3 linked regions of the Drosophila melanogaster genome follow. The protein of the gene in region 3 interacts with the protein of the main gene of each other region in a pairwise test. Each region holds a gene or a part of one and is shown on either strand. Other genes may lie near its edges.

Region 1 (7,911 bases), on a different chromosome or scaffold from region 3:
GCGTCCCATGAAACGCTTAAGCCATCAGCCATCAACACAATGTTAGGTAATTAACCCGGCTAAATACGATACGACGGCCAAATTATGCCAGCATCCGGCTAAGATGGAACGTGTGCTCCCTTAATGTCCTCCCATTCCTCGCAGTTCGGCATCCTCTGGGGGGCGGGAGCAACCGATGATAGCCCCCTGATTTTCACTCTAGATCCACGTATTTATCTCGTCCCATCTCCAGTGGCAAATACAGTTTACTCGTTTTCTTTTATCTCCAACCAGTGTATGTGTTAAAAATTGATTTGAGACGCAGAGAATTGCTGTATTTGGTTATCGTATACATATATAATGTATAAAAGATAAGATATGATGTGGAGATAATTTTATAGAAAATTGAAGCTACTGACTTCCGGTTCGGTAAGTACATTTCGTTCTTAAGGCATGTGAAAATATATTGATAAATTAATGAAAAAATAACATAATTACAAAGTGCAGAAATTCTTAATATTTGTTGTTTTAGATATAAGGACATTTGCACGTTTCACTGTACTTTGGCATTCCTGTACAACGATTGATATTAACTTCTTATCGAAGGCTATTATCGTGATTAAAATGTTGCAAGCTTTCAGAGCCATTAACAACTGTGCAGTGTTCTTATCAGCCACAGTATGCAGCCCCCTACACCCACCCACACACCAAGTAACCCACAAAGGACACACGAAGAGAGAGAAAGAGAGAGAGCGCTAAAGAGAAAGTGCGTGTGTGTGTTTGTAGTAACGTGGTGTAAGTCCAGGGAAGAGACAAAAGAGAAATGTGTGGTTTTCTGTGCGAGTATATATGTGTGTGTGTGTGTGTTGCTATTTTACCACAAAAATGAGAGACGGTAAACAACGGACTTGACAACTCTTGGCTCCTGCCTGATGGTGATGGCTTTGGCTGCCGTCTGTGGTAGCGCTCAGCTCGCAATTCTCTCGAGGAGACGAATACGAAGACCGAAAATCACCCATTATCCAGTTTTATTTTATCATCAATTTTATTACACACAAAGTAAAGAGGCGCAGCCGAGCAGCAAGTTGATGATGTACCAGGCTATCAACATCAATGAAAAACGGCAACAACAACATCAAGAAGCGAAAGCTAGAGAGAAAGCGTCACACACACACACACGGGCACACACGCAAAGAGAGATGCTGAGAGGCGAGGATACAAAACACACGCCCTTTTGGTAGGAAAAGCCAAAAACTGAACGGAAACCGAAACTGAAACGGAAACTGAAACACTCGATTGACGACTTAGTGGCTAAGCTAATGCTAATTGCAGTCGTACTTACTTAGGGCTGCATCTATGGCTCCTTATCCTTATCTTTATCCGTATGCGTATCCTTTTTTTTTTTTGCTATTTGTATGTGTATATATATATATCCTGATCCAGTGACCGGGGCGAGGAATGTTTGTTGCTGAACACTTTCGTTTGCTTTGTATTACATTGGTATTATTATTTGGTTGTAAACTTTTGCTTTAGCACTTGGTTTCTCCACTTCTCAGCTTGGCATTTCACTCACTCGAGACACTTTCCTGTAGAAATCAAAGGATTTTCTTTTAAGGGGCGGTCCACTATGATTGTGCTGCCACGGATCTCGAACTCCTCGCACGGGTGGCAGTCGGGCGACTAAACGCAAATCACCTCATCTGCTTACGGGCCATAAAATAAATGTCTTACGAGTGCGCCTCAATTGACCGAACAATAAACTCAATTTGCATTGAGCTCTCTGCATTTGTGTGGGTGCGGATGATTGTGCCGTCTTGCGCTTGATTGAATCAACAGCAAGCAAGTGAACAGATTTGGATTCTGTTTAGCTCTCGGACACTTTAACAACATAGTACGGAGTACACAGTCGCACTGGATTAGTGCGCTTAAGTGCGCTTAAGAGGAGCCTTTTTAGCTATTTGCCTCCATTTGGCACTTATTCAATTGAGGCATTTTGGGGACATTTCGAAGATGCCAAGATGCGCCACCAGGAGCGAGTAATTATGTCCGGCAAATCTCGCCCAGGAAAACACAAGTGTCCAGCTAACGACAAAGACCTTCAAGGGCCGCTAAGTAGGTCGTCCTATATGGTTGGTCTACATGTATATTTGCTATACCCCAAACAGAGTGTTTGTTTCATACATCTTTTCTTTTACGTGTTTCACCTTTTGCTTTACGAATGAAATCATTTACCATTCTTGGTCTTTTGGGATTTAATATTGAATCCTAATTCTAATTATTTTATATAAATCGCTTTAATGTTAGTTGAGCACAAGTTTTAGTATGTCTTTATTTTACACCCATTTCACATAGTTACTTCCGCTACTTAGAAAACTGGTAAAAATCCCTTTAAAAAAATTCACAAATCTGGTTGCTTTGTGTTTCCCTTTCTTTGATTTTCAATTATATTTCTCGCTTTTCTTTGTCTGTTGTTGTGGTTGCTCTTTCTTGCTTTTCCCCATTTTCACGCTTCTTCTTGCTTCTGCTCTTGTTTTTGTTGATAAATTCGGATTTTTTGGGAGCGGCTCATTTGGTTTTCTCTTAAACTTTTCCTTTTTTCTCGCGTGGAAAAACATTTTTGGCAGACTTACTGGGGAAAATGTACGAAAATTTCATGCTTACTAGCAACAAATGTGGGAATACAAAAAAAAGTGACCATTATGTGTAGGATTGATTTTTCTTCAAATGGTTTTTCTTTTCAGGTTTTACTGAACTGAAGCTGCGGCAACTGATGACGCGTAGTCAACATTTAAAAATTTAAAGAAGCAAAATCTGTCTTTGTTTTGGCAATTCTTGGAGTTGGTTTCTTTGGGCATAATTTGAATTTTCTTTAGCTTTCCCAAGCACCGCACATGGAAAATGCTTGCAAAATGGCACACTGACCACATATAAACACTCGCACGCACGCACACACACAGCACACAAACGCACACATACACACACAGACACACACGGGGATTACAAGTTGGCAGAACAGTGGCAGCGAAGTCAGCAGCGGCATCGACTGCCAACACAATTTCCATTTGCCTATTCCGCTTTTTCACTTTGTTGTTGTTGTTGTTGTTATTTGGCCAGAGGATGTGGTGTGTTGTTGGTGCCAGGATTCCTTCGATAAGGACTATTTACCGAGCCAAGTTTCCTTTGAGCCGCCGTCGCTCTCGAGTCGCAAATTCACACTGAGCCGGAGTTTTGGATTCGGTTTTGGATGCTGGTTGCTTCGCACTCGGATGCTGCTGGTTGTGCTGCTTTGGTCTTCTGCCGCCGCGGCCAAGGACTCAGGCGCAGGCTGTCGGCGCAGAAACCATCGCCCCAATTCTCTTCGCCTTGGTCCTTTTAAGAGAGCCGGAAGAGCGCGTATTAAGTGAAGAGCGGAAGCGCGTGGTGGATTAACCACTTGAAAACCGTGGCGCCCGCACTTCAGCAAATGCGTTGCAAATGCACACATTACGTCCACTTGTAATTAGCGGGCTTAATGCACATCAAGCATCCGCTTTTCGGCGGATATAGGGAGGGAAGTCCCTGCGACAAGCCTATCGAGATTGCAAATCGAGTCGAGTGTTGCAGCGATCAGTATATGCCTGACACCGATCAAGCGCTTCAATGACTTTCAACGATAGTGTAATATATCGGTATAACTTACAGGATTTTAAATGAAAAAGCAACAAGATTAAACTCGTTTTAGAATAGCAATTAAATGTTTAATTTTCGATTGACTTTATAAATATTTAAGTTAATATTAATAATGTAATATAAATATCAATATACTAGATTTCTTGATATTTATGCGTAGAGCTTTGAAAGCATTGTATTGTTTTACACTGTTTACAATGCTAGAATATTTTTTTGTTATAAATATTTTATTAATAAAAGTCTTAGCATAGTGCCTGGGCACAAATTTGCCCAACTAAAATATTGCTGAAGGTTATGTTAACCACTTTTCAAAAAAAGATTTAAAACCTATCGCATTCGCTTCATTCGACGTCCATCTCTAAGTGTGACCCTTGGATGTGGCGATTGTACGGGCTATCGATAACTCCGACGCGACAGCGACGCGGCAGAGAAAACTCGTTGATGCCTTTCGTTTGACTAATTTTATATAACTTTCGGAGTGACAACACGGCCGACACATAAACAAAAAATATATCCTAGCTTGTGAATATTTAGGCACACACTTCACACACCTGCAACGCGGCCTGCAGTTCCAAATTCTTCGTGTTTTCGATCAAGGTGTTCCAGGCGGTAAACAAACAACAGCAACAACAGCTGGCACCACAAAAACAACAACAACACGGCGAACAACCTGTAAGACCTTGAGGGGATTTTTTTCGGATTTATATTGCGCGGCAATGGCAATCTAATCTAAATTATTCCACCAGGTGCGCTTCTGATTAACATTTCTGGTCAGATATATTCAATTAGCAAAGCGGTAGCATCATGTCGATCAGGAGAGCTATGTCCACAACGGCCTCAAAGGAGTGGCGGGATTACTTTATGAGGTCTGTTTGTTGGTTATCAATTGGCCTTATATGACTTATTGTAAATATTGCTTTTTATATCCACAGTACCCACTTCTGGGGCCCGGTGGCCAACTGGGGTATTCCGGTGGCTGCTCTCGCCGACACACAAAAGAGTCCCAAATTCATCTCCGGCAAAATGACATTGGGTAAGGATATCCCCCCTTGGGTTTTGGCCTCCATCTGGCATCCATACACGCGCGACTGGCATCGAAAGTTTTCGCTTAAGATGTCGTAATCAGAGCCGCTGTGATATGTTCTAAACAAATCACTCTATAATGCCTGATAAGCCAGATACGGAAACTGTCGAAACGTCTGCCGATAAGATTGCACAGAGAAAAAACTAAGCACAATTTGTCCATTTTACTCCATAATCCGATTCCATCGGAATAAGATGCCAGCGAGGCAATATGCACATAATGTAATGGAAATTATGACAAATTTTGCTTATAATTTGTCCTGTGCCTTTGCCTATGTAAATAAGTCTCCCAGAAATGCTTATCCTCGATCTTTTCCAGCTCTGACCCTGTACTCGTGCATCTTTATGCGATTTGCCTACAAGGTCCAGCCCAGGAATTGGCTGCTCTTCGCCTGCCACGCTACCAATGCCACCGCCCAATCGATCCAGGGTCTTCGCTTCCTTCACTACAATTACGGGTCTAAGGAGCAGCAGGCGTAAATGTAATCCTTGCCCCGAAATCCACTTCCCCGAGACGCGACGCGCGAAGCCACTTCAAATGTTTACCCAACAGCAGCAGCTATCGCAATTTACTGCCACCACACGCAACGAAGATCTAGCAAATTGCACTGCCGCAATCCCATTCAAATCAAATCCAAGTGGTGGAGTAATTGCCGTGAATCACACCCGCACAATCGGCTGAATCTCGAATCGCGAAGTTGTCGTGCCCCAGTAGCCGTTTTCGCTGGGGTCAAATTCCAATTCCAATTGAGTCTATACCCAACTTGTTACTTTGCCCATTTAGTTAATTCCGTTAGGCAGTTGATCAAAATTTTAAGTCGGTGCAATGCTTAGATTACGATTATATGAATATGGTTTAAAATCCAATAAAAGATATCAAAATCTAATTTTGTCTAGTGTCTGTCAATACAAAATGGTTGTAATAAAATTGTAACATTTAATCATTAAAATGAAGAACGTTATAGAACCCATTCAAATATACAAAGTTAGTTGATTTTGTCACGTTTATTGAAACATGCTTTTTATTCAAACAATTACGGTTATATAAGTTGATATCTGTAAAATATACATTTCAATTGTTCTTAACAATAGCATATTTTTTTGTTGACATTTTTTAAACTTTTTTTTGTTCATCAATGGGGTTAAAACATACGAACTCGTAATCATTTTTTTGTTGTGCTTTTTTTTTTTTTGATTACGCTTTGGACGAAAAACATATCCGTGGGTATAAAAATTTTTTAGTTTTCTCAAACATAATAAAAGTAAAATTAAAGTTAAACACTCCTCGCGCACTATGGGCGCCATCACTATGCCTAATAAGTGGCTTAACTGATGTCCACATGGAAATGGAAATTTGATTTCTGCTTCTCGACTTCTTCAACGACAACTTAACTAACTAAACAATTGGATGACGACGATAGGTACTATGACAGGCTTATGCTCCGCAATTTCTATTCTATGGCTACGAGAATCTCAGTCCTGCTCCTGCTTAACGTAAGTGCTCTTCTGCCGCTGGCGCTCCATCAGGTACTTCTTGAACTTCCGTTCCCGGGAGGCCACTTCGTCGGCCCGGGCACGCAGTCGCAGATTCTCGGCCAATAGCGTGTCCTCGGCGCGCTTCTCCTCCTCTTCGCGCACCTTCGTCTTCCGGCGCGATACGCGGCTCGCTTCGTTGTTCTTGAGTCTGTCCTGGTAGGCCTTCCTCTCCTCCTCGCTTTTCATGCTTGACATGAGCACGGGATCGGGACCGTCGGCATGATCCTTGGCAGGGCGACCGCGCTTCCGCTTGCCGCTGATTCCGCTGGCTGGCGAAGGGCTGAACACGGACGTACTGGCTGTTGAATAGGCGGGCGAGGTGGGAGCAGTGAGGAAGCCACCATAGCCGGTCTGGCAGGTGGGCGCCGCACAGCTGGAGCTGGCTGAGTAGTTGCTGTGTGGTGTGTTCGGCGCCGAGAAGTCGGTGGTAGTCTCCTCTTCGGCACTGCGTAGATCCTCTACGATGTCTGCATGGGTGCTGCTGCTGATGGAAGTGTTGCTGGTGCTGGTACTGGTACTTGTGGTGGGAGCCTCGAACTGCAAATAGGAGAGATTAAGTAAATTAGGCTGTGCTGGATATTTCGACTTCAAAAGAGCTGACAATTTTTCGGTACACCATTTAATCTGTTCTTTACAGATACTTACCCGATCATCATTCAGGAGCTGGTTGATAATCTCCGGTGTGGTCGGACTGAATGCTGGAGCTAGCTCGGTTTTGATCTGGAGCATCAGTCGGCTGCGCTTGGTGGGCTGCGACTCGACCGGGGCCGGAGCAGAACGCTTGATGTTGGTAATGATGGGGTGTTGGATGGGGGCTGGGATGGCCGCGGCGACGTCACTGCAACTGCTGGCAAAACTGCCGCTGACGTCCTCCACAAGGCCGAAGCCGAGCTCCTGGCTGCTGGTATAGCTGATGTCGAAGCTGGTCATGTCGGCGAGCAGGGGCTCCTCCGTGATGAATTTGGTGGTGCTGGATGTGGATGTGGCCTGAGAGTAGGTGGCGAGATAGGGGTCCTCTGAGCTGGTGAGCATGGCCGTTGGCTGCGAGTTGTGGAATATGTTGATGAAGTCCAGTTCCTGCTCCTGGTTGATGTCGATACCGACGCCGGACATCGATGACATGTCGAAAGTCTCCTCCTCGTTAAGCAGGTCATTCAATTGTAGAAAGTCGTCGTCTAGGTTGTCGTTGTTCATCCCGTCCATTGCCGGACTGAAGGGATCCGTCTTCTTGCCCTCAAGCTCAATCAGATCCTCCTCGGCAAACATGTTTATATCAAAGTCAAGAATATCCGTCTCAGTAAAAATCTCCTTTCCGTTTTCGCTGTTGCACGTCGATGACGTTGCTTCTATGTCTTGCAGGTATTCTGTGATAAAAAAAAAACATTTATTAGTACAAGTCAATTAATATTGAGGCAGATCGTGCTAAATGGGTGTGCATAAATTGAATTTAGTTTTAGGTAAATATATATTTTTTTTTTGGAGAAAAGGGTAAGATACCAGCAAATTGATTGATTGTATAAAATATTCGAAAAATAATTGTTATTTAATATATATTTAGTTTTCAAAGTCTCAACTATCTAACTGAATTAAAGTTACAGCGAGTACGTCATTGATTGAACGCAGTGTCACTTTAGAGTTATTCTA
Region 2 (6,757 bases), on a different chromosome or scaffold from region 3:
ATGTGCCACTGGTGGGTTAAGGCAAACGGGGGTTAAGCGGACAGCGGGTGGCAAAGTTCAATTGTTCGAGTCTGCAGGTCCTTTGCTGGTTTGGAACTTCGAGCCATGCAGAAGATGATGATGAAGGAGCTTCGCTTGGCTTAATTCCGTTCGGTTTGCTGATATCTCAAAGATGCCCTACACTCTGGACGAAAAAAGTGCCAAATTAATGACAACCCATAGGTTGTTACTTAGGTTTATGCAAAGTCTGAGGTACTGAGGTAACCTAACCAATTCGAATTGCCCAATTTATAGGTTGACATTTTTGGACATTTACATTTTAGAACCGAATTGTCACTTTGTTAGGCAGAAGTAAAATAAACTGAATTGTGACAACCGACGATGTCCTTTATTTTATTTAAATTATTTTTTACGCAACTAAAACACATATACCAATGCCCTCTACTTAGTCTCTTGTATGCAATTAGTACCGATTTACATGACAAAGTGCAAATAAGTGCTGCATTTAACCCAAGGGAATGAATGTGGAGAATGAGTGTGTCGCAGGTGCTTTCCCAATCAGCCGTAGGGTATAATTAGTCCTGCTCTCGGCTGCTAATCTGTGATTTTCCAAATTGTTTCACAAGTGTCATAAATCAATGAAATACCAATAAGTCGTCGTCGTTGTCGTTGTCCTGCTGCTCTTCCTGCTGTTTTGCTCCCTCTGCTGCTACTGCCGTTGCTGCTGCCGTTTGCAATTGTTCGAAAATGCAAATTTTGCAAAAGGATATGCCCATGCATAAATGCTGGGCTGCCGAAGGGGAAGGGGGGGGGGATGTGTTGGGTTCCAAGGGGCCAAAGAGGCTAAGAGGCTAAGGGGCTAACGGGCTAACGGGCTAAGGGGGCACACGGAAGGACTCTCAGGTCCTCCGGCAACGACAGCAGCCAGAAGCCAGACACGAAGCAAACATATTTCATGCAGTCTCAATTGGAATTCTAAATCAATCAGATTGAGACGACGCCGCCGTCTCCACTCAGCTAACAGCTAACCAGTTCAGTTCTGTGCCGTTGGGCACTGTTGTTACACAGCGGCAAAAGTTGGGTAACTTTCATTAATTAAAATATACACAATATTTCATTTGCGATTTCAATTGATCACAATAACTTGTTCTTAATATTATATTGAGCATACTAATTAATAATTTGATGAAGCATTCCCACATTGAAATTTTGAAACTTTTCGTTTCGCATAGTGTTCAAAATTCGTAGGACTCTGTGCATTAAGTAAGACACAAATCATAATCGTATGCGTGGTGGGAGCGGGGGAATTCCGGGCGAAGGAGTGGTTATATCTAGGTGCCAGCTGGGCAAGGATCTGTGGCCTCGGCGTCGTCCTCGTCCTCGTTTCCCGTCCTGTTAGGAAATGCAAAATTTCAAATATGAATTGAACTGATATATTAATGGCCACTTGAGTTGCACTCTCTTCAGATCCTGGGGACGTTTGTCAGCCAAAAGTAACTGCAGCTTCCTGGGGGAAATTTCGAAAATGCGGAAGGGATGATGAGGTGGCTGTTGCTGGTGGTATAACCTGCTCGGTGTTGGCATTTATAAATCAAAATTTTGGGCCAACAACCTGCAAACATACGCACACCGAAGGACATTCTGCATCCGTGTATCATTGTATCTGTGCTTGTGTAATTGCCAGGACCTGGACTGCATCCTGTTTTGGGGTGGGGGCTGGCGGATTGGGGATTGGGGATTGGGGTTTTGGGGTTCTGTTTTAAGGGGGTGCCACAATTGCAGCAACTTATCTCTCGCCTGCCCATATAAATAATGACAAGCACGACGACAAATAATAACCAAACGCACACAGGACATGCCGCAGGACAATAGGCCTGGGAGAAAAATAGGGTCGAGGTAAGGACGACTACTGTCTGTGAGTGAGTGTGCATAATATGAAAATTTATGTGCGGAAAGGATTGAAAATAAATTTATGAATTATATTGGTTAGAAAATTGCATCTACTCAAGGATATCCTTAATGTCTCCAGGATATGCATGTGTTCAGCTAGGCTTGCTCATTGTTTTTGGGGCTATCTGTTACATTCAACAATGTCCTGATTCAATTTATTGTTTGTTTGATTTGCATTCTGACCGGAGACACTCGCCAGATATGTGCCTGTATATCCCTCTATAGTCGTATATATAAAGTCCTGCGTCCTTTGTGCCATTTGATTAGCGATAACAGCTGCAATTTGCGCCGAAAGTGCTTTTCGAATTATCATTGACAAAAATAAGAATCCTAAAAAGTAACACACGCAGCCAAGGCTTATCGTAAAAATCCAATAAAAGTGGGCCACAGAATTCGGTTTGGGGACTTTTATGATTTTTTCCCCTGTTCCTGCTGACATTTGGTAGTTTATGACTGGATTTGGTTTCGATGCAGAGAGAACAAAAAATAATTCAGTTCAACACGTTTTAACTTTATGCGTACATAATAATAATAATAATAACATTAGTATCTGCTATTTGTATATCTTTTAAGCATTTTAAAAGGAATTTTAGTGTTTTGATATAAGATTTTATATTTGAGATTGCTTGCTTGCTATGTAGCAATGTTTTTTTTTTCAGTGTTGCAAATATGTCAAAGTTCAGTAACCGTATTCGATGGGGGATTTTGAGTAAGGTAAAAGGAACTGGTCATAAAACTTTCCCGACACGTTTATGCCTATCTGGGTTGTGGATCTGAAATCTCAATGCCAATCCAAATATATATCCACATTCTGTGGCAGTTCATCAAATGCTCGACGACAAGTCACGAGCGCTGCAATCTGGAGTGGCTTATGGCATTAGTTATTAGTTGGGGGGTGGTTGGTATATCTGCTTATACAGGAGGATACATTTCATTAGTCAGACATCACAGGCGCATTTTACAGAGACGTGTTTCACTAAGAGACCATGTGAATAAAATGAAAACGGTGTTTGGTACTTTTGGTAAAAAAAAAAAACAATCACCAAAGGCATAAATATTACATATCTCTAGTTTCTCGAAACTTTTAAAATCGCTCAATAAAATTCTATTCGCATTGGAATAAACATTGTTACCTCGACCTAGACCCAAAGAATTAGGTTCATTTGAACTGCAACCGATTCACAGTTGTATGATCGAAAATGAGAGAGCTCCAGTGCACATGATAATTGCAGACGAGTTGAAATAATGTTATTACAAAATCAACACCTCAATTAGATATTTAATGTGACACACCAATTACGCAAGCAATTACAAATATACTCTTAATATATTTGTTTGAAATCGGTTAAACAATTGGTGGCCCATAAAAGCGAGGTGTTCGAGGCCAATGTCAATCATTCCACATCAAGATGCGTTTCTGTCTACTGTTCCTTTTGGCCATGAGCTGCTGTCTGCTGGTAACTTAAATGCTCGATAACATTACAGATTGCGCATATTCGAAATATTCGTGCCCTTTATTCTAGCAATTCTCCGTGGCTGGAGTGAATTTGGTGCGCGGACTGGAGGCTGCCGGTCATCATCGCAACTTCACCGGCTCACCACCACCGCGTGGTGCTCCTCCACCACCTCGGACCACCACCGCCAGTTCTTCGGGTTAAATAAATTGAAAGCAAAACACGAGAAAACTGGCAAAATTTCCATTGACGGACGATTTAAATGAAACCTACCATTATGTAATCCTATAGCTTCAAAAAATATAGAAAAACCATTCCAGCAAAAAAAAAAAAAAAATAGTTCCAGTGTTTTAAACCACAGTTTTAGTAAATATTCGTTTTTATTTATTCGTAATTGGCAATATATCTATCTTATCTCGTTTTAAGATACTGAAATGAATTCATTGAAATATAAAATTCTACATTTTGCACAATTTGCATCATTTATTATCTAAAATCTCTTCGCTTTTGTGAGACTTTCATTATTGATATGTAACGTCTGAAACCATTTGGCCGGACTTCCCGCGCGGCGATTAAAATCGGCATTAATTTGACAAAAGTTCAACGACAAAAAAAAAATGAAATTAAAGCTATCTGATGTTGGAGAGAAAATACAGTATACATATATAGGCTGGGCCATACCCTACATGGCCCATGGTCAGAGGTGAGGCTGCAATTTGTGATCGTATTTGTTGATACAACATATCCAATTGTCCGTCGTCATTGTGGCCAATTGAATGGAGCTGCAAGAAAAGCGAACTATAAAAATGAATGGAAGCGCCGTTGAACACAATCAGTTGTTTGGGGGAATTCTCGGGCCGAGGATCACGATGAGGCAATCCATAAAGCACATATTCGCACTGTTGGTTGCCCTGGAGTGTTTAAGCCTTGGCGACACGGCGCCCATCGGTGAGCATCCGGATCATGCCGGATGTATACGGATAACGATCATCAAGCGACCATTGGCCACCACCACCACCACGACAACAACAACAACTACAACCACAACAACCACTACAACCAGAGCAACAACCACGGCCGCTGGTTAAAAAGGAATATTCTAAATTCAACACAAACAATTTGTAGAAATACACTTAGCTCCTCTGATCAACGCTTAAGAATAGTTTCCAAATCTTATAATCTATGGTTTAACAGTATATATCCAATTGGTTTCTTGAATACCATACTATTTTCGAAATTCTACCTTTATCGCAGGGTAATCTTCAATTTATTCTGTTGAAAACGTTGTAATGCCCATTCCTGCCACTTTTCAAATGGAAAAGGCATCCGAAATCATTGCATACTTTGCGGCAGACACTCGAAATGCAATTTCAGCCACGCCCACTCCCCAAGGTGATGTAAAATGGGCTAAAACGGCTGTGAAAGGCCACCGCACAATGCACAAACGAAGCTGCCGAATATAATTAAATATTTTATCGCATAAAAGTGCCAAAAATGAAACGACAACAAGAAAATAAGCAGCCGGCATGCGTTTTTCCATCTGGCTCCTCTGACCATTGTGCTTTGTGTACACTACAAAAAAAAATATAATATTCCGTATACTACAATTTCGAATCATAGTATTCAAATAAACTTAATTGGATAATTACTAACAGCAGCAAAAATAGTTTTAGCCTTTAGTTATTCAAGCTTTAGTGGTAGTACTTATGTCTTAAGTATTTCGATGGAGCATTTTTTTCAGTGCTTTTGGCTATATGTGTGGTGCACAGGTAGAGACCACCCCTTCGTTCCTCTGGACCTTCACTTGTAACCCCTTTTGGAGCTCTTCTAATTCTATAAGCTGACATTGTTTTGGCAGGGAAAAGATTGAGGGAAACTCGAAGGGGAAGGGGATTGTTGGAGGAACACATGTTCCCCGCAAACAATAAACCCGCAGCTCGGAGTCCCTCTTTTTCGACCACTGCATTTCTTGGGTCTCTTTTAGATGAAATCTTTTGGTCAACAACAACATCAGCGGGCCATTGTTCTCGCCTTCCATTCTGTAGTGGCTGCTTTTTTCGACAATTTCCATATGAATTTTAATTATAATTTTTCTATGCTCATTTTCATGAAAACAATCAAAAATGACTTTTGTGCCGCTTGCCCGCCCCTCCCATCACAAAAAAAAACAACGAATGTTGGTTGAGGGGCTAAAAGGAGCTTGAGGTGGGCCCGTTGCAAATTGTCACTAGCATTTATATGGCCACCAGGCATCTGAAAATTAGGAAACGGAACTACATACGCGAAGGCTTTGTTTTTCGAAAATTATTGCATGGTAAAAAGTCCAATAGTTTATATACCCTATAATTTCGAAATATAGTTGAAAATTATAACGTATACTATTATATAAAAAAAATATTTGCTGACAGTTCTTAAAGCGAAAAACTGCGTGAGAAAATATTATATATTTGCATAAAAGGCAAGAGATTTTGCATAGAAATAAAGCTTATTATTTATTTTAACCATTATATTTTAAAACATATTTTTACAAGTTAATGTCTTGAATCTTAACATAGGGTTCGATCAAATGGTTCAAATGGTATGACTTTACTCACAACAAAAGGGTAATGAGATTGGGATGAGGAGCAAGCAAATTATATTTGAGCATAAAAAGTAACACAAAAGCAACACGGCGACATAAACAAGTTAACAGAGCGAGGAGTTGTTGGCTTTTGTAGTTGGCAGTTTGGCACGTTAGCGCTGCCAGCTTCCGTTTCCTGCCGTGGCCAAAAAACAATCCACCCATATGACAACTGTCGCTGTGCCCCCCTTGGCCTGGCCCCTGACCATTAACCCCTTAACCCCTTAGCCCTTAGCCCCTAGCCCCATAACCCTTAACCCCTGTCACTGGCCATGCATACAGCATAGTTTTTGAATATACCGCGAGATGGCGCACCTGTGTCATCTACGCTTTTGTCCAGATTTTATAAAAACAAAAAAAAAAACCAAAAAAACTAAAAACCAACACACAGCCCGGAAACTGTCATTATGCATTCTGATGATATTTTCGCCGCCGTCTCTCCTTTGTAGAAAATTATTTTTGTAGTCGGCTAATTAAGAGACAAAAAACCATGGGAGTGTGTTGTACCTGTATATGGCAACATACCATATGTCGTCTTCATCATCGATAAAAGTTTTGAAGCAAGTAAGTAGATGAAGGAGTTGCACAGACTGAGGCAAAAACTAATTTCGCAAACATTTGTCAGCTCATTAACAATTCAATTTGCTGCATAAACGACCTAAGCATACAAATAAAGATGGGCGTTTTGTGACCCCAACGAAATAGTTGGGCCCACTCGGATGCAGACTGACCG
Region 3 (7,871 bases):
TTTGATGTCATTTTGGGGCCCGAGTTTTCCTTAACTCAGATCTGTTTCCCTCTCGTGGTCAGAATTAAGTGCTGTCGCTTTTGCTGCCAACTTCTTTTTATCTAAGGTGTAGGGAAATTGTTTGGCTTGACTTTTAAATTGGCCTTAAAGGTTGAGTTCATTGGACTTTCTTAATTGGAAACCAACGCTGCACTTGAAAATGTAGCCTGGTTTTTATCAAGTCTACCTGTTAACTTCACTTTAAAAAACACTTTATATACTCCTTAACTGCGACAGTTGGATCTAATTGATCTATTACATTTTTAATAGAAATGTGGCGTGATAGCGTTTAAAATTTCTAAGATCATTGCCATACTTTCAACACTCATCGAATCTGTTTAACAATTTATTGGTATGCTATTTAAAAAATGCAAAGCTTTTTAAATGATTTTTATTCTTTATTGCTGTGGATAAAGGAGCCTGCAGGTGGCCAAATGTCGCAATCAATAGTCGTTTATAAACACATAGTCAATTGCGAAACGCTATCACCCCAGTCAACAATATGATATTACACCTCAAAAAATATGACTGTGATTAAATATGACTTTCATGATTAAATGAAAGGAAGCGTTTATCATAACTATGCAATTTAATGGTCATTTAAACTTAACCAAAATTCATTTATCATTTTATTTAAAAAAAATAATTTAAAAAGCATAATCAGGCTTCATAACATTTATCAAGCGATTTGAAAAATTTAATCAATTTCTTAACTATTTTAATCGATTTAAATTACTCGCTATGGTAAATGCTTACTGTGGCTAAAAAAAATGAATATAGTTAGCCCGATCGATAAAAATTGTAATAAAAGTTAAATGCTTCGTTTATTAGGCCTTTTTGTGATGTAGGTATAGAGGGCTCAGTTTAGATATATTGTTTTACTTTCAACTTTCTGAAAACACAAATCGATTTTCCTCAGTGCACTTTGCCGTATGGAAATCTTAGTTCGGTTACACGCAACTTCTGCGCACACGAGACCAAAATATGAAAACAACCGCCTGATGCCTCCCCACAAAGCAATGTCACCCAATCCACAGATGGCGCCGGGTCGTTCGTGAGTGTCAATTTTCGGCGATTTTCATTCGTTTTTCATTTTCTTGTGCGGATGCAGCTTTTAAAAGCTCTTGGCTCCTTAGTTTGGCAGTAGCCGATGCGAGTGGCTCATTCAATTAGACGGCTTCCATTTAACCCGATGTGTCGCGGCCTTCTCCGTGATACCAATTTAAATGCGGAGTTCATATGGACAAAATGCTAACGAGCCTTATCGCACTGCTGTTATCGCTACTTTCCCTAAATCCCATCACGAATGCTTGTAAGTGAAGAAGATCGCATCGCCGATAGGGATTGTGATTTGTGTGCTTAGCTGGTTTCCTTTTTTATAGCCAAATACCACAGAGAGGCATTGCAATTCTTGTTGCGCAACGGAAACTTCGACCTAAATCCACTAAACTGTCACATTTTATTGTGGGAAACGTGCCCTAAGCGATTTATAGATTATCAGCTGTTTACAAGGTAAGTAAAGTGAGAAATGTGAAAGTGACAAACATGTTGAAAATTAATTTAAAAGACGAAAATAATGTTTTTAAAAAGAGTACGTTATTGAATGAAGTGCTAAAGACAATTATCTTAACAAATAGCGAAATTGAACAAGATAAAAATTAGATTTAGGTTTGAATGAATAATTTAATTTACAATAAGCCAGTAAGACCTCTAAAGCGAATTGGTTTTCAAATATCAACAGCCTTACCACGCTAGCCAAATAAGCATTCCAATCTTTCTCTTTTCTGCGATGCAGATTAACCTTATAAATGTTCCCATTTTACTCCTGAAATCTTTCCTTTCATTTTCCTGACCGTGAACCACGAAACAAAGGCAGTATGAAAGGCCAGCTAGTCACCAAAAAGATGGAAATCTGATAAAACTTCACAATCGCATAGCTAAAACGAATGACTTAGGAAACAAACTTGGCAATTGTCGTCGAATAAAATTATAAGAATTTGCATTAAATGCGAATGTTATGTAAATAATAAACATATGAATTACAAACCAAAGACACCATGAAAAGGCAATGGCATTGAGCTGGGGGAACGAAACCGAAACCATTTCCAACCGAAAACTCATAATCAAAATCAGTGCAGCGTTGCGTGTGCCATGGATTTTCATTTTCATAGACGTCGCCAGGCGGCAAATGCGGCAAAAGCAGCAAAAGCAGCAACAGCAGCAATTGCATCAACAATGAAGCCAACACAACAGCAAAAACAGCAGCAACATTATACAGATATTAGCCAAAGTCGTTCACGTTTTGACTGCGAAGTTGAGCAAAGTCAAGGCAACAGGCGGTGGGCTGAGCAATTCTTAGGCCAGTTTTTACTGTTGCTGCTGCAGTTGCTGTTACGGCTGCTACTGCTGCTGTTGCTGCTTCAGCAGGCGTCTGCTGCATTTTCCTTGGCTGCGCATTTCGCGCTTTTGCAGCCCATTTGCAGTGCACAGCGCGAATCTGCAAGACGTGGTGCGGATTGCTCGCGAAAAAATCAAAATTGCTAATTTCAATGCAAAGGATTACGATGAAATCGCTAGGCAAACACAAATGGATATCAATTAGAGAAACGTGCAATCGGAGTGCAAGTTGTCAATTTAAACGGGAAAGCGCTGTGGAATCTGGTTAAAAATATACGAAATATGTGAAAGGCGATGAAAGAGGAAAGCCAAATATCCTCACGGAAAATAACTCATTAATAAGTGACTTGAAAATAAAAATCTCTAAATTATTTCATAAACAAATCAGTCGAATGGAATTAAATTAATGAAAAATTTGGTGTAAAATTGGGTGAAATTAAATTTTTTTTTTAAATTGTGAAAGATAATAAGTTAACTTTATATGCATGAGCTAATAACAACCTGAATTATGAGCTCAAAATTTTAGTAAATATTATTACCAGTTAAAGTATTGATAATGTAACTTTTTTATGTGAAAATAATCGAAACTGCATTGAAATTTTGGCTTTAATTAGCATTTTAAATAAGTGAAACAACAAGTCATAAGACGTTAAAGTCCAAATAAAAAATGAAACAAATCGTCGTGCTTTGCATATTCTCACTCTTTGCCAAAGGTAAAATACCTGAATTTATTTCACATAAAATGTGTTGATCAAGCTGAAAAAAAATCCAGTTCTTGTTTTTCCGTTCAAAAAATCTTGATCATTTACACATTTTAAAGTGTTTTTATGAAAAGGCAGAGAATTTAAGAATCGTGAAATGCAATTGCAGATGCACAAACATTGCTCCTAAGCCAAATGGATTGGAAGAATCTGCGCAACAGTGGAGCCTTGGACCTAAATGTCTTGCGCTGCTTTTTGCGCGACAAAAACTATTGTCCCAGTCCACATATCGATCACCGTCTGTATGCACCGTAAGTTCGATTGGATTCGAAGATATTATGAGTACTCCCAAAGTAATATTCCTTTTTGAGCAAAATCAAGTTTTATCGGTGAATCACACTTTTAAATTGGTATTAAGTCCATAAAGTGCTGATCAAAATGCTTGCAAATATATATTTTTTAAGTGCTAAAGATGTGTTTTCATCTTTAAAAATCAGTCGTGCCACATGTTTAGGTTCGATTTGTTTATAAATTTAAATGCCAAAAGCAGGAAAATTAATGTTATTAATTTAGTCGCTGGCGGGGGAGAAAGTTCCTCAGGTGTTAGGCAACTGGAATTTCAGACTCGGTTAGTGTGTCAACTGCCGAAACACTTGTCGCACTGCACTTGTGCAACCATAAGGATATTAAGCGGCAAAGAGCAAGAGAAAAAATAAGAGTACAATTAATGGGCGGGCAACTCGTTTCTCGAAACCAGCCACTGACCCACTAAGGATGGGATGCTTTTGCCAAAGGAGGCCGGCTTTTTCCACATCGAGCGCCGATCTTGGCCAGCGATGACATCAATTTCAATGGCCAATGCCAATAAAATGCTTTGTAAATGGCTCCTCGATATTTGCCCAACTTGTCTGGGCAAGATTACCGCCAGCTCTGGAGGCGAGACAAAGTCGCAACTGGCGAAGTCCATTTTTGGAGAGCAGACGGGTAATTGCGGTGGTAACAAATTTAACAACTGGGGGGATTACATGATGGCCAGCTTTTACGAGCCTGCTGATTGATGGTTGTATAACAGCGGGAAATGACCGGGCTGACACCTCCGTTCTGGGAAATCCGCGAAGGAATACAAATTGCTTTTTCTGCAACTATTTAGTCTCGTTAAGAATTTCTGGAAACCGTTTGGCTTGTAATTGGTGATGTATTTTAACTCATAGTTGTAAAGTCTATAATTTGATCCACTTTAAATGAATTTTTCATTATTACTAGCTTGATATTCAATTGAAAATCTTTCAAGATTAACTAAAGTTAAGAGTTAGCATGCCCAGATCTGTGCTTGCTGCACGAGAGATTTCTACGGTTTTATACACACATGGAATTTCCATAGTTCTATTTAAATGTATGCACAAAAAAGAAAACAGAGATATCTGCAAAATACTATTCCATTATTATATAGTGGCTTTTTACAATATTTTCAGCAATGGACCGCGTCGTGGAACTCCTTTAAATGTTAAGAACCCAATAACGCTTTATAAAGGTGGATTTAGCAAGCACCGCGAGACTGTCTTCATAATACACGGATTCAATGGAACTGCCATAGATATTCACCTGCAATTCCTTCGAGATGGTGAGTGCATCTATCTGTTAAATTATTATATTCTACAATATTAAGCTATAATTTATATAACTTTAACTCTCTCTTTTTAGCTTACCTATCCCGCGATTTCAATGTCATTACAGTGGACTGGCGACCTTTGACCCGCTATCCATGCTACCTCCACTCGCTTATAAACACCAGGTTAACTGCGCAATGCACCGCCCAGATCTACGCCTTCCTCACCCACTACGGAGCTGTCCGGGAACGGATCACTTGCGTGGGTCACTCCCTGGGCGCCCACATCTGCGGCATGATCAGCAACCACCTGACGCGGAAACAGTATCGCATCATTGGATTGGATCCCGCCCGGCCTTTAATTGAGCGCATGAAGAGCAACAAGTTTCGGTTGTCGATCGATGATGCCAACGTCATTCAGGTGCTCCACACCAATGCCGGTTTCCTGGGCCAGGAGGATAACTCCGGGCATCTAAACTACTGTGTCAACGGTGGACGCATCCAGCCGTTCTGCAAAGGAAATCCAATCAGTAAGGCTAAATTAAAGTAGTTTAATACCCTCTTTCTCGGAAAAAGAAATCATATATAAATAAATGTGCTCTCTATCAAACAGGAAAATCGCGATGTTCGCACTTCTTGAGCATCTGCTACTTGGCCACTGCCACATTTAAACACAATAAGTTCATGGGAGTACCGTGTCCCAATGGCTGCCTGAATCTTAGTGGATCCAAGAGGCTGCCAGTGAGCGGCAAAGTGAATCCCTTCGAGTTCGCCTCGCTGATAAGGGAGTACCACATAGGCAACGATGCCCCCGATGAGTAAGTTTATTAAAAACCATATATATAATTTATAACCAATTTCATATTTGATTTAGCGCCCGAGGCTGCATTTGCATTGATGTGCCGTATGCCAAGCACTGCCCCTTTACGGATGCGTAGGAGCTGGTCTTCAGTAGTTTGTAATTCTATGATAAAGCTGTCGATAATAAATTCAAGTAATATTATTTTTTTGGTCTTTGGGTATTTTAGTAAATATGAAGGAAAAATGAGAAATAATTACTTACCTTCTACTACACGTAGTAGGAGTTTATTATTAAAATGTTGCAAATTCCAAATTTAGTTTTCGAAAATTTAAAAATCAAATTCGATATACTAAGAGTTTGGTTCACCGTAATATACCAAAATTTATATCGAATATATGATATCGATGTTTGCAATCGTCATTGCAGTCGCTACAGCTGTTTGGTGTTTTACCATCTCTATGGACATTGTGTATATAAAACATTTGTTATTGCTCATAACAGAATTTCTCCATTTACTACAACCTGAAGATATATAGTTATTTATATCGTTAGTTTATTTAAAGTAAGTAAGATACTTATACCGTGTAAAATGTAAAACAATTGAAAAATATCATAACCCATTGTAAATCGCATATTATAGTTTGCCCAACAAGGAATTCCCAGGAAATATATTGTAATTCTTGAGATAAATATATAATCATGGGTTGCGATGGAGGAACTATTCCCAGGCGCGATGAGCTGGTGCGCGTGAAGCAAAAGCCAGAGCAGGTAAGTCTATTCGATTGGAGCACCTCCTAGCCAGACCGAAATATCATTTCTCGAACCCTACAGAAAGACAAAGATGCGGAGAGGGAGTTCCGTTGGCGCCACTGCACCTTGACCCAGCAAAGCCTCCAGGAGCCGATCGCCATGTGCGGCATGGGTAGGCTCTATTCCAAGCAGAGCGTCATTGAGCGACTGCTGGAGAAGGAACCGATGCCAGAGACAGCTGCGCACGTGAAGAGCATGAAGGACATTCGCCAGCTTAATCCCACACCCAATCCCGCCTTCACCGAGGAGGACAAAACTGAGGGACTGCTGGACACACGACATTCTCCTTACATCTGCAAGCTGATTGGCCTGGAGATGTCCGGCAAATTTCGCTTTGTGGCCCTTTGGAGCTGCGGATGCGTTTTATCAGAGCGTGCCTTGAAACAGATCAAAGGCAGTGTGGCTAGCACTTGTCCGCTGTGCCAGGCTGCCTATAGCGTTGAGGACGTGGTGGTCCTCAATGGCAACGAGGAGGACATGGAGCTCATGCGGGTCAAGATGGAAATGCGTGCGGCCAAGCGTAAGTCCTCCAAAAAGGACAAGAAGAGTGCCAAAAAGGTGGAGGTGAAAGCGGAGCCCGCAGAGGAACAGGAGCCAGTGGCGTCCACATCCAAGGCTGCAGCCGCAGAGAAGCCCACTACAAGCACAAAAACCAAGGCGGTGGCGCCGGTCAAACGACTGGGCGCCGTTAATGCAATGCAGGATCCCGAACTGAAGCGTCTCAAGAGCGACTTCAGCGTGGCCAAGGACCCGAAGGCCAGCGATGTTTACAAGTCCCTTTTCACCTCCCATAAAACCGAAAAGGACCAGGAGCGCGCCCACTGGGTCACCTATAATCCATTCTACAATTAGTCTAGATTTCGTTTAAGTTTGCTGTGTTAACTCAGTCACATGTCCATAGTTTGATCGTTGAAACCACACACACAGTTTCAAAATATACAACCGACAATGTATCGTGCAGCCTATCAAAAAGGTTTCCTTACCGTGCTTTACAGCGTAGGCAGTTCGCCCCTGAACAACTGGTCTTCCTATGTGAGTATCTGGCATTCAATGCAGCTGCCTCGTCTCTAGAAAGCATCCTTGTAACAGACCAAAAACGGGTATATCAAACGGATCTACGATGAGGACATCAAGTCCCTGGTGCTCGAGATAATGGGCTCAAATGTGTCCACCACATTCATACACTGCCCCAGCGAATGCAAGGAGCAGCTGGGCATCAAGTTGCCCTTCCTGGTGCTCCTTATAAAGAACATGCACAAGTACTTTTGCTTCGAAGTTAAGGTAAGGCCAAGTGCTATGAATTTATAGTAAACTCTGGACTGCACAATGATGACAATATATCCTTAGATTCAAGACGATCAGCGCTTCATGCGCCGTTTCCGAGTGTCCAATTTCCAGAGCAAGACCTCCGTGAAGCCCTTCTGCACGGCGATGCCGATGGGCATGTCACCGGGGTGGAACCAGATCCAGTTTAACCTGGCCGACTTCACGCGCCGTGCTTACGGCTCCAACTATC

Evidence for each region. Proteins that work in one complex are often made in the same cells at the same time.
Region 1: the proteins of CG6443 (region 3) and Mpc1 interact in a two-hybrid assay, tested with the Drosophila melanogaster proteins (one large-scale study listed by BioGRID).
Region 2: the proteins of CG6443 (region 3) and CG15036 interact in a two-hybrid assay, tested with the Drosophila melanogaster proteins (one large-scale study listed by BioGRID).

What each region holds. Positions count from the first base shown.
Region 1 is NT_033777.3:18,924,798-18,932,708, reverse strand, and holds Mpc1 (mitochondrial pyruvate carrier), read left to right. Parts: upstream 1-4,049; 5' UTR 4,050-4,320; intron 4,321-4,394; 5' UTR 4,395-4,452; coding exon 4,453-4,514; intron 4,515-4,580; coding exon 4,581-4,681; intron 4,682-5,050; coding exon 5,051-5,211; 3' UTR 5,212-5,713; downstream 5,714-7,911. Other genes in the region: Xrp1, read right to left, coding at 6,205-6,804, 6,913-7,631. UniProt on the Drosophila melanogaster protein: Mediates the uptake of pyruvate into mitochondria.
Region 2 is NC_004354.4:7,422,329-7,429,085, reverse strand, and holds CG15036 (uncharacterized protein), read left to right. Parts: upstream 1-4,243; 5' UTR 4,244-4,273; coding exon 4,274-4,492; 3' UTR 4,493-4,559; downstream 4,560-6,757. Other genes in the region: CG32726 (uncharacterized protein), read left to right, coding at 3,360-3,407, 3,474-3,608.
Region 3 is NT_033779.5:10,722,996-10,730,866, forward strand, and holds CG6443 (uncharacterized protein), read left to right. Parts: upstream 1-5,982; 5' UTR 5,983-6,107; intron 6,108-6,185; 5' UTR 6,186-6,244; coding exon 6,245-6,313; intron 6,314-6,376; coding exon 6,377-7,207; 3' UTR 7,208-7,303; downstream 7,304-7,871. Other genes in the region: CG6431 (uncharacterized protein), read left to right, coding at 1,279-1,351, 1,422-1,551, 4,610-4,758, 4,839-5,273, 5,357-5,561, 5,618-5,681; CG17118 (uncharacterized protein), read left to right, coding at 7,304-7,387, 7,445-7,636, 7,703-7,871.